Ovis aries: one gene and its partners. The protein of the gene in region 1 purifies or fractionates together with the protein of each later gene. This does not show direct contact. Links are inferred from orthologs where the notes say so. Each region holds a gene or a part of one and is shown in the gene's direction. Other genes may lie near its edges.

Region 1 (3,645 bases):
TTTCACATGTAGGTTAGCCTGTTCAGAATTTCCAGGAAGGCTTGGAGAGGAATGAAGGTGTCTGTCTTCTCTGCTCCTTTGTCCCCTGCAGTCCCCATTGCCCCAGACAGGCCCTGGACCCAGCTATTCTCACCAGCCACGTGGGCACCGCCTGGCTGGCTGACGGGACCCGGAGACAGGAATGTGCCTTTCCTCCTTCACACCGAGTCCCGGGCGCGCTCAGCTCTGCCCTCCCCAGCCTCCTCCCATCCTGAGCTTTGCAGGAGAGGCTTGTGTCTCCCAGGCCCACCGTTGCTTTGCTGTTCACCTGTCCGTCTTCCTCAGTCCACGTGGTGCGAGCCAGGCCTGTGAGCTCCTGCTCTAGAAGGGTCTCGGCTTTATGAGGACGGAAGAGCCAGTCCACGAGCACTGCGCTGCAGACAGGGCTCCTCTTACTGTCACTCTGGAGTTTTCCTTCTGGGATCCTGGGGAGAAAGGTTCAGAGGTGTCCCTGTTCCTGGCGGCACTTGCCGTGGGTAGCCCGTGGCGTCTTTCATCAGGCACTTTAACCCTTGGCTGCCTTTTTACTGAGGCTGTCTGATGAGATCCTGTGAGAAAGTGAGGCTGGGGGAGGGGGCACTTTAATCCCTGGGACCGGAATCTTGGCACACACCTGCGCCAGTCACCCACTGACCTGGGTAAGCTCAGGGCAGACCTGGCCTCTTCAACCTGGGGGCCAGGCCGATGGGCAACAGATCCTGCTTGTGTGGTTGGGCTCAGCTGAGGCAGGAAGGAGGCGGGTTCCTGGTGGAGAGTGAAGGCATGTATGGTTCCATCTGGTTTTGTAAAGGACAGTCTTCCAGAAGGGTTCTGCCCTTGGCAGACATTTAGTTTTGGCAAAGTAGAGACTTTGTCACCTGCCGGCTGATGGTATCTGAGACCTAGTTGATTGGTTCATTTGGGATAATACAGTTATTTGGGAGAACAGATGGCGGCAGGTATAAGGCAGTCCTGGCCCAGACTAAATGAGTGGAGATCGCACCTTCAAACCAGTTCAGGAGGGGAGTGTTAGGGGCACCCAGGAGTTCTGTCAAAGCATGGAGGACTGGGCCCCACTTCAGTAACTGGAGTTACTAAGAGCAGAAGAGCTCAGAACCAGTTCAAGAGCTAGTCTGTGGGGCCTGGGCTGGCTCTCACTTCTGTTGGCTACCCTGGAGCCTAAGACTGTCCCAGTTTGGGCACTGAGAGATCAGTGTCCCAGGAAACCCAGGACAGTTGGTCACCCTACCTCTCTAAGCCTTAGTTTCTTTCTGCATAAAGTGAAGGAATTGGACGAAAGGTGTCTGCAGTTTCTAACCTCAACTCCCCTCCCTTCCTTGCCCAATAATTGACCCTCCAAAGCCCCTTCTGCTCATGACCCTAGGCTGGCTTTTCCCCGTGGGCATTTACAAGTGTGATGTTAGGCAGACCTTTGTCCCTGGCTGACAAGATGAGCCTGGGGAGGCCCCTGGCTGCCTTCTCCTGGGGCCTGGGGAGAGCTGGGGGCCTTCTCCAAAGTGGATGTTGCACCCGGGGAGCATCCCGGGTTCCCTCGGAAATGGCAGCAAAGACAATAAACACAGTGGTACCAGAACGAGCTAGTTTTAGTTTCTCGTTGTGTTGGCAACCAAGGACATCCATGCCCATGGGCAGCTTCAACAAGCAAGCCACACCTCATGCTCCAGGTCAAGGCCAAGCCAGTCTGTGTCTCTGCGCACCCTCAGAGGGGTGTTCCTGAAGCCCCCTGGCTGCCCTTCGAGAGGCCTGAAGGGGTTGTGGCTGGAGCAAGCCAGGCGTCACAGGGCAGACGCACGTCTGCTGTGAACAGGAGAGGGGCTTTGCACAGGATAACTGCCAGTGGGCTTTCCCCTGCATCTAGGACCTGGGGACTCTGTGGATTCCAGGGCGGGGGTGAGGGGCTTTCTCCTGGAGCCCCCTCGGTGTTCTGGAGATAACAGATCAGATGCCTACATAGCAGATTCAGATTCTTGCACAGCTGAGGCCCGACAATGGCCTTTCTGTTTCCTAGGCCACCGACCATTGGGGTTTGCTAGGCCTCAGTCCTACCATTTGGTTCTGGAACCAAAAACAGACCATCATTGGCCTTCCATCCTGGGTTGGTTTTCTAAGTTTTGGGTCCTTTGCCCCTTTGGGCTTCTCAGCTGTGGGCCAAGTGGGCCAAACATGCAGGCAGCCTTGAGGCTCACAGAGCCTGGCACTCACCAAGAATACTTGTATATTGGCACCCCACTCCAGTACTCTTGCCTGGAGGGGAGCCTGGCAGGCTGCAGTCCATGGGGTCGCAAAGAGTTGGACACGACTGAGCGACTTCACTTTCACTTTCTTTCTCTCCTTTGCCCACCCTGTGATGTTTGGGTACCTGGCTTAGGGCTCAGCACCCAGTCACCCCCGATTTTAGGCTCTGCAGGGGCCTGTGGAGGGAATTTCCCCAACAAGCACCCCTTCCTTGGGGGTGCTCACTCCCAGGGTGGGGGTGTCCTCGGAGGGGTCCCAGCCTTGCCTTCTGTCTTCCAGGCAGGCCTGGCCTCCCCGGAGAACTCGGAGCAGCTCATCATTGCCCTGGAGCCCGAGGCAGCCTCCATCTACTGCCGGAAGCTGCGGCTGCACCAGATGACTGATCTGAGCAGCAAGGCCGCGGTCAACGGGTACAGCTCCAGTGACACAGTAGGAGCTGGGTTTGCACAGGGTACCTGCTCTCTCTCTCCCCTCCCCGCCACCCGCCCCTCCGCCCTACTCTGGCCCCCTGCATGTGTCTCTGCCTCGGAGTTTGCGAAGGCACTCAGTGTGGTCTGGAGACCTCAAGATGCTTCTGGAGGAGGCTGGAGTTAAGTACCTCTGTGCTCAGTTCCCCCCCTCCCCCAACCTGGCCCCTCCAAGGACACTGTAAACTCATCAGTGGTTACCCTCGTTCATCACCCACCCTAGTGCCTAAGGGGAGGACCCTTCTCTCCCAAGCACGTGAAGCAGTCCAAGAGTGGCTCTTGGCCATGCATTTTACTCCGCTTTTAAGTCTTTCCTGTCTATTAACTGATTCTTAATCTAATTCCACTGGCCTGTTATTAATGCCTCCATTAAGACTGATGGTTTATCGCTGACTCATTCATTGGGGCTGCTTTGTACGTGATGCGCTCATTGTGAATCTTAACTATAAACCTGGTGAGAGTTGAGGCTAGAGGTGAAAAGGGCAGACTTTCCCTGAGGGGTTGACGCTCATTTAACTGTGGGAAGGAACACTGCCCAGGGAAACCCAGGTTGGGCATTTTAAGGGCCTTTTTTCTCTCCAATATTGGGTTGGCCAAAAATTCTGTGACAGTTTATGGAAAAACCTGATATTGACCTATATGCAAGTTGCTCACAAGCTTGCTCCTCAGAACTGTTTTCCCTGGAATGTAGGGCTCTTTAGATCTGTCCAGAGCCATGGAGTCTGAAGATACCCTGGGTCAGTCAGAGCCACGCGGGTGAACACGGATGCTAAGGAGCTGTGGGGGGTGGCACTGTGCACCCCAGCTCTGAGCTCTCTGCCTAAGTGAGGACTTCAAGGGCACACCCCCCCCCCCATCACTCCAGCCCACCTCCATCCTGCCCTGGAAGGCCCAGGTCCTGGAG
Region 2 (3,645 bases), on another chromosome or scaffold:
TCCTGGATACATACAAAGTGATGTTTCTAGAAGCATGAGTATATGATTTTAATAATAAGCAAAAGCATAAATAGAATCACAAGTTATTACAGATGCCTGGGATCACCTCCCCCTTGACCTTCTCTGCCTTCAGCTCACTATAAAGTCTCAGTCCTTCCTTCCCTTTCACCAACCCCTGATGTGGCTGTTGGGGTGACATACTCCCCGGATTTCTTGACTTAAAAGGCTATATTGCATTGATGTTGTTAGAAATCCTGATTCTGACTGCAGAAGAAGATACAAATATGAATGAAGTGAGATAAAGAATCCTATAATGCTTTATCTGAATATATCAGTCCATGGAATTCTCCAGGCCAGAATTCTAGAGTGGGTAGCCTTTCCCTTCTCCAGGGGATCATCCCAACCCAGGGATCGAACCCAGGTCTCCTGCATGGCAGGTGGATTCTTTACCAGCTGAGCCACAAAAAGAAAGCCCAAGAATACTAGAGTGGATAGCCTATCCCTTCTCCAGCAGATCTTCCCAACCCAGGAATCAAACCGGGGTCTCCTGCATTGCAAGCGGATTCTTTACCAACTGAGCTATCAGGAAGCCCAACAACATGAAGTCATAATTTATAACTCTTAATTCTTGGCTCTATCCGTTGAAGGGGCAAAGAAGCCATGATATCCAGCAGTACTGAGCACACTAAGTGCCTACATCTTACTTTCCCAGTGTGTCCCCTGCCCCCGCCACCGTGTTCTGAGCTTATGCCTATGTGGATAGAGAGAAAGTTAGAAAGATATATACCAACGAGTTTGCAGTGACAGTGGAATAAGGAGGGTGGGCAGTGAGCAGACTGAAGAAAAGAAGAGAAAGTCTGTGTAAATTGTTATGACTTGCTGCCATAACCAAGAGCTCCTTTTGCAGTTTTCAGATTCTAATGACGTGAATGAAAACAGTACACATAAAATGAAAAAAGACTGTATTTTCCCAATGGAGTACTTTATAAAAGTTAATAGAGGGAGTCAAACCTGTGCTATTAGTGCTCTATTCTTCTTATAAGTTCTGTTAGTGAAGTGGGAAGAATGCTCACCTGGTGTAGATAAACCCAGACCCGCGTCCAGACCTGTTCCCTGTACGGCAGTGGGCGAGTGGCTGCCCGTCTCCAGGTCCCAGGTTTAGGCGCCGTCTGTAAGGTGGCATCATGGCCACCTCTGGCAGGGCTGTCGCAAAGAGTGAATAAGACGCTGGTGAAAGTGGTCTTATTCCAGATGTGACCCTGAGACCTCCGCAGGTATATTGAGGGTCATTCTTCAGGCTCTTGTGAGCGGGCCTAGGAATGTCAGTTACCTTTCCCTACCTTCTAGAAGAGTGTTCCATTTTTAGAATCTCCGAGAACCAAGCTTTTGGGAAACACTGTTTACTAGGACTGTTTGAAGCTGAATTAAGTTCTTTGAAAGTTCGCATTCACAGTGGCACCTTTTCTCTGTATCGTCTCATCTGCTCTTCTTTAAAGCATCTGGGTAAACTGGTGTGTGTTCTTTAAGTCAGTGCTGGAGGAGCTCATGTAGAATCAGAGCTTTTTCCCCTGAATGTCCTTCACGTGGTTCTGTGATGTGAACCCAGGGGGACACATTTGCTGTGAATGCTGTTTTTCCTTGTGACCCTCTGTGCAATGGTGATTGCTGAGAAGACAGAAGCCAAGCGTGAAACCAATGTACTAATTCCGTGCTGTGTCTCTCTCTCTCCCCCTGCCCAAAAGTGACGCTAGTATGCGTTGTCTCACTCTCTGGGGTCCTGCCGGTTCTCGTATGTTTTCTGTGCTGCTGCGTGGGGGACCATGGCTGCATGTTGCAATAGCTACTGCTTTTTGCAAGGTTGCATCTTCCATGAGAAAAGCCTCACAAGCCTTTTTAGGATACTGTGTCTCATACAAGCTTTTTTGTCACTAGATGGAGATGCAAAATATCTTAGTGAAGGTATTTTAGTGAAATGGTTTACTAGTCAAAGGATTTCAGAGTTTTTTTCTTAACGTTTATGTCTTAAACTCCCAAAAATATGAAACCAGATTAAATTTTGCCTGTGATTTGAAAAGCAGCCTTTCTAAATTTTAGTAAATGTTATGGTACCTAAAACCCTTAAAGAATGAGTAACAAATTTCAAAAATTTAACTAAATCAGGTATCTCTTTCACTAAGACATTTTAGCTGGGAGGAAAGGCTGGATCTTACATCTCTTACGTTTGCATGCTTTGCAGTTGCACGAGTTTCGTTAGCAGTGTTTGCCTTCCTTTCCCCAAATACCAAAGATGAATGAATGTATGCCCATTATGGCAGTCTTTTTAAAACTCAGTGAAAATTAAAAAACATTTCTGCACTTCAGTTGAGCAGAGTTGCCATCCGAATTGTATCATCTCTGCTGAGATGGCTACTTTTCAGTATAACTTAGGTAGCTTTTATATTATAGCAGAGAGAGACTTTTCAGCCACTAATAACAATAGTAGTAGTAGCAATGGTAATAACACTACAAAAAAAGTTCAGTGCTCCTCAATGACTGGCACTTCCAAAGATGTGTTTAAAGTCAAGTGTAGTAGGGCAGTTGTCTGTCTGCTGTTAGTTGTGGAACTTGCCTCTGAGTGCCGCTGCCCAGCTGGTTTACTCTGTGGGTAAGAGGCTCAGCAGTCACTCAGTGCTCCCCTCTTCCCACTCACATCCACCCTCACACACGTCCTTACCAGAGAGCCTGTGAGTGGATGCACACTGTGCTGGTGGCTTCAAGAGATGAGCATTGAAATCACGCTTAGACGCAGTTACAGGTGACAGGAGTATGACACTGCGGTGTTGCTTAGATGAGAGTACCTGTAAGGCTGATGTGTCTTTTGAAGAGAAACCTGGTGCTTTATGGGGGTTTTTTTGTGGGGTTTTTTTTGTGGTTTTTTTTTTTTGCTTTTTTTTTTCCCTGTAATAGGACAATGGGTGGCGTCCATCCTTCTTCTGACTTAACTATCTCAGACTTTATTTCTCCAATTGTATCTGCTTTTAGCGTCAGTGAATGAAAACCATGAAATATACATGAAGGATTCTGTGTCCGCTGCAGAGGTTGGTACTGGCCAGTACATCACCACAAAGGGCATGTCTCAGACCAACTTGATCACCACTGTGACTCCGGAGAAAAAGGCCGAGGAGGAGCGGGACGAGGAGGAGGACAGACGGAAAAAGGCCGAGGAAGCCACGCCGGTAGCTGCCGTCCGGCACGAGGGAAAGGTACATCTCCCCTCTGCCTCCCAGGGCTCCTGCAGATTCTAAAGAACTCCTGAATGGTGCTGAGAATGGGAAGCAGGAATGCGTGCATAAGACTGAGGCTGACTCATAGCTCAGCGTTAGTCACATTCATACTATCAGTCTTTATTATTTCTTCTGTCCACAGTTTTCCTCTGAAAGATCCCTTTTTTAACTTTTTGAAACTTCTTGTTGAACGACTTAGGTGCTACGTAAGACTTTCAACAGCTGTCCTGTCTGTAGATCTTAAAAATACTTTAGGTGGCATATTAACCCATTTATTTGTGTTTGGGCTTACAATTCAGAATTGCCGCTAAAGCTGTTTTCTTTGTTTCTGGCCCCATTCTCCTACCCAAGGGCTGTGTATTTTTCTAGACGTATAGTATTG
Region 3 (4,382 bases), on another chromosome or scaffold:
GGGCCTGATTTAACCTTTCTGGGCCTATTTTCTCTCACTATACTGGTAACCTGAGCACAGTAGGATCTACACTGTAGTACTGCTCTGAGGATGAAATGTGATTGTACATACAAAGTACACTCACAATGTCTGGTACAGAGTAAGTACTCAAATGTTTCCTCAATAATCCAAAATTTAAGTCAAAATGAGTGAAATGCTTAAAAATTCGGAAAACCAACCATTTTGGAAATAGACTGCTTCTTAAATGTCAGATTTCAGAGAAAGTGGCCGCTATGTACTCCTTTCAGATAAACTGATAAATTCAGAAGAATTGTATGTTGGATAACTAACCTGTGGTTCCCCGGCCATTTTACTACATGTAATTAATTAGGCACAGATATTCTGGTGCCCAACTGCTGTTTACATCAATTCTCCTGCCACTGAGTCCCAAATCTGGATATGTATCTAGTATTAGGGGCAATATTCCACAAGTTTCTTAATTTGTAATGAGATTCTGTGAAAACCGAAGGGCTTAGTGGCCGGTTAAAACTGGGCTAATTTTTTTTTTCAGCCCCACTGTCTTCATGCTTACCAACTGGGTGATTCCGTTAACATTTTCATTTAGGTCAAATATATACCGACTGCCTGCTATATTCACACAACAAGCCTTCTTTTCAGGAGTAGGAAGGGACAGAATGCAAGGCCCTGATGCTGTTATTATGGAAAGCTTTTATCTATGGAGAAATACTGACGGCAAATGAACAGATCCGTGTGATCCTGTTTCAGCCGTGCGCAAGCGAGAGGTGGCCTGGACTCCAGCATCATGCTCTTAAGGACAGGCACATTTCCAGTAACAGTCTCACTTCCCCAGTTTCCCCGGGGAAGGAGGGGAGCGGTGTTGCCGATGGCATCGCCTGATATCACTTGTTCTGGGTGATAGGAGAGCGTGGGGCCGCCTGGCCCACCTCATCCGTGGTCTGATTGCATTAACCTCTTGGTTCCCTGCTCCTGCCACGTGAGGTGCCCTAATATGGTCAGACTCCGGCGGAGCCCAGGAGCGCTTGCCTTTCTCCGGCTCCCGGCGAGGAGGCAGGAACGCATGTTCAGTGGCAAGCAGTCCGAAGGAAGGAAAACGGGGATCTAGGTTCGCATCTGGGCGAGTTGAGAGTGGGCTGCAGCAGAAGCCTTGCCTCAGGTCATCCATCATTTAATAACCACCCCCACCCCCAGAGACTCCGATCTCCCCTGGGGGGGGGCTCCCTTTTCTCGTTGTCCCCTCACTTTCGGGGAGGCACCTCTGGGTGGACCCCTAGCTGCAGTCCTGATAGGAATGGGAGGCGCCCTGGGGGTCGAGGTGGGCGGCTCGCCAAGGCTCCGGCTGCTCGTCGGGTCCTAGCAGCCTGGGGGGAGATGCTACTGCAAGGCGTGTCTGGGGCTGCGCTCATGTGATGAAGCGAGGGAAAAACAAGGGGGAGGAGGAGGAGGCAAAGAGGTGGCTTTTTTTTTTTTTTTTTTTTAAGGAGTTTGCCGCGAGCGCGTCTCCTTCATTCGCAGTCTGGGCGGGTTTGGAGGAGCACGGCGGGAGACTGAGGCGCTCTTGGGACTTTGCGAGTGCACGGCTTCTGGCTCTTCTCCGCGTCCCTGCGATTTGGGGAAGGCGTTCTCCAAGCGGCTAGCCACCGGAGAACCGCAGACGAGCCATGGGCGCCGGGAGCTCCACCGAGCAGCGGAGCCCGGAGCAGCCGGAGGCGGGGAGCGCGACGCCCGCCGAGCCCGAGCCCAGCGGCGGCGGCTCTGCGGCGGAGGCGGCGCCCGGCACGCCTGGAGACCCGGCCATCGCCCCTGCGGACCCCGCCACCAAGGTAGAGGCGCTCCGGGCCACCTGCCCGGAGGAGGAGGGGAGGGTGGGGCGGGACGGCGGGGGTCTTTGGGGGTAAGGGGAGGGGGGAGGTCCCCTCGATCTCCGCCTGCAGTAACTTAACGGCCGGTCCAGCCCATCTGCAAACTCGTGAGCCTGAATCCCTCTTTGTAGGCTTTTCAGGGTTTTAGCGCCGGGGCGGGACCAAAGGATCCGCGAGCGCGGCGAGGGGGGCTCGCATCTTTGTCGTGGGTCTCCAGGGGAGGCGACTGCGCCATCCGCAGTAATAAAATTCGCCCGCTGCCCGCGGCTGAGCCTTTCTCCACGCTCTTCCGGTGGAGCGACCCAACCCGACACCGGCGAGCTGCCTGTGGTGGGGGTTGGGGTGCGGGGTGTCTGCGGAGCCCTGACCCCCGGCCAAACGTGTCGAGCCCCCCACCCCGTCTCCCTATGCGGAAAGTCAGCTGTTGGGCCGTGACGCGTGTTGCAGCCTGGTGACTCCGCCACCAATGGGTTCCCCGCAGCGCACTGTCCTTGCTGCCGGCTGTGTCTGGAGCGACCGGGTTTGGTACCCAGTCCTCCTGCGTCAGGCGGCTGAAGCAGACAACACCGCCTTCCCGATGCAGAGAAAGCCTGGGGTGTAGCTCACTCGCAGCCAAAGAAAACCTGAGCCGACGCGGCATTTCCAAAAGGAATGACAGGGTTCGCAAACACGGCGGCGTCCTCCTTTTCGCTCAGTTCGCTGGACTCAGTGGGATAAACAAATACTGGAGGAGTAGTTACAAGTTCTCAAAGGATGCAGTCGAAGGCGTAAGGGAGTAGTCCCTGTCTATTCCGGTCTATGGAGGCAGTGCTGAACGTCCTAGACATTTTGCATTTTATAGTCTTAGGTCTTCGAAATATTTATTCTTGGCAACTGCAGCCGCCAAGATTGTGACTTGTCCAGATCATTGTTTTTTAGATCTGTTTTCCAGAATTTATGTTCATTAGCCAGGCTTCACTCCACCCGTTTTGTGATACTTTTATGGGAAGATGTGGGTAACCATACTTAAAAAGAAAAAAGAAACGTGTCAAGTTTGAGAATATACAGAGTACTTGAGGACCTTTAAGAGTTATCTCAGGAAATATAGATACTTACAGTGTAAGGGGAAAAAAAAACACTGAAATCGAGGTAAAAATCACAGAATTATGACCTCATCGCCTTGACCTTTTAGCTGTGGTAGTCTAGCTTGGATGGAGAGACTGCTTTTAACTAGATTACCTCTAGTCATTAACATACCTCCTTGTAAAACCCACGGTCCCTAGAGCTGTAGATGCTTACAAGTAGCTACTGTGCCTGGAATGCCTAGATTCTCTAAGATATGCTTAAGACATCTATCCTTTTGAGGTCTCAGTTATGTGTGTGTGTGTATATATACACACACACACATATATTTAGCTGCACCATGTCTTAACTGTAGCATGTGGGATCTAGTTCCCTAACCAGGGATCAAATCCAGGGCGTACCCCCTCCCTCCTCCGGCATTGGGAGCTCAGTGTCCAGACTTCACTGGACCACCAGGGAAGTGCCTCAGTTATGCTTTAATATTTACTGTATCTCACTTTTTGATGTCAACTTCTGTCAAAATGTCTGCATAACCAGTATTTAGAGTCCATTAATGAAAGTAATTTTAAGGCATAATTGCTAAAAGCTTGCAGTTGCATTTTTTTCTTTGGCTTTTACCAGCCCTTCAGGTCTTAGTAACAGTTCACACTAAAATATGGTACTTATTCTCTTCCCAATAAACTTCTGTGTATTCGTTTAAAATGTTGCTTCCTTTCTGTTCTCTTTATCTTTTCCATAACATCATCCTTCTTCCTCTTTCCTAGTCACAACCATCTTGAAACAGTGAGATGACCTCCTTTAAAAAAGTACTTAAATGACATCCTGATATCATTGAACTTTCTGGCAGACTGCCCAGTTATCAATTTGCAGACAAATCAATACGCTTACATGCACATGTTAGAAAACGTGTAGTTTTTCATTGCGACTAGCAAAATTTATTACTCCAAAGACCTAAGTCTTTTCAAAAGGACTCTCTAATTAAGAATGATTCAGCATGTAGCTTTTGTCTCCTTTCTTCACCCTGTTCAACCCTAATTTCGGACCTCTGAGTAATTTCATCTGCCATTCTGGGTTCCCATAGCACCATGGACCTTTCTTGCCAGCAGTTTCCATGTTTGTGGGTTTAGTGACTTGATGAGTAAGTGTTCTGGCTGCTGTGAATGCTCCACAAAGGCAGGGATCGAACCTGGGTTTGCTTATAACAGGTGTTGCTCCGAGTATGGAGTGTGTGGCTGGCATGTAGGATGATTCTGACACCTTGATTTTGATTGGAGAGGGTCAAGTTGGGGAATACCTTGGTCCATCTGCTTTCTTTTTTAAACTTGTAATTTTGTATTGGGGTATAACAGATAAACAACCGTCTACTTTTTCTTTGACTTTATCATCATGGTCTGTCTCACTTATCAGGTAGTGACTCAGTCAACGTCAGTTCTGGTTATT

Evidence for each region.
Region 2: the proteins of HSPA12A (region 1) and EPB41L3 purify together in Homo sapiens (affinity purification with mass spectrometry; 4 studies listed by BioGRID and IntAct, with this or other methods). This does not show direct contact. The link is inferred for Ovis aries from reciprocal best matches to the Homo sapiens genes HSPA12A and EPB41L3.
Region 3: the proteins of HSPA12A (region 1) and AKAP12 purify together in Homo sapiens (affinity purification with mass spectrometry; 3 studies listed by BioGRID and IntAct, with this or other methods). This does not show direct contact. The link is inferred for Ovis aries from reciprocal best matches to the Homo sapiens genes HSPA12A and AKAP12.

Annotation. Positions count from the first base shown.
Region 1 is NC_056075.1:36,606,858-36,610,502, reverse strand, and holds part of HSPA12A (heat shock 70 kDa protein 12A), read left to right. Parts: intron 1-2,553; coding exon 2,554-2,725; intron 2,726-3,645. UniProt on the Homo sapiens protein: Adapter protein for SORL1, but not SORT1. Delays SORL1 internalization and affects SORL1 subcellular localization.
Region 2 is NC_056076.1:39,369,227-39,372,871, reverse strand, and holds part of EPB41L3 (band 4.1-like protein 3), read left to right. Parts: intron 1-3,021; coding exon 3,022-3,242; intron 3,243-3,645. UniProt on the Homo sapiens protein: Tumor suppressor that inhibits cell proliferation and promotes apoptosis. Modulates the activity of protein arginine N-methyltransferases, including PRMT3 and PRMT5.
Region 3 is NC_056061.1:76,102,927-76,107,308, forward strand, and holds the start of AKAP12 (A-kinase anchor protein 12), read left to right. Parts: upstream 1-1,525; 5' UTR 1,526-1,679; coding exon 1,680-1,841; intron 1,842-4,382. UniProt on the Homo sapiens protein: Anchoring protein that mediates the subcellular compartmentation of protein kinase A (PKA) and protein kinase C (PKC).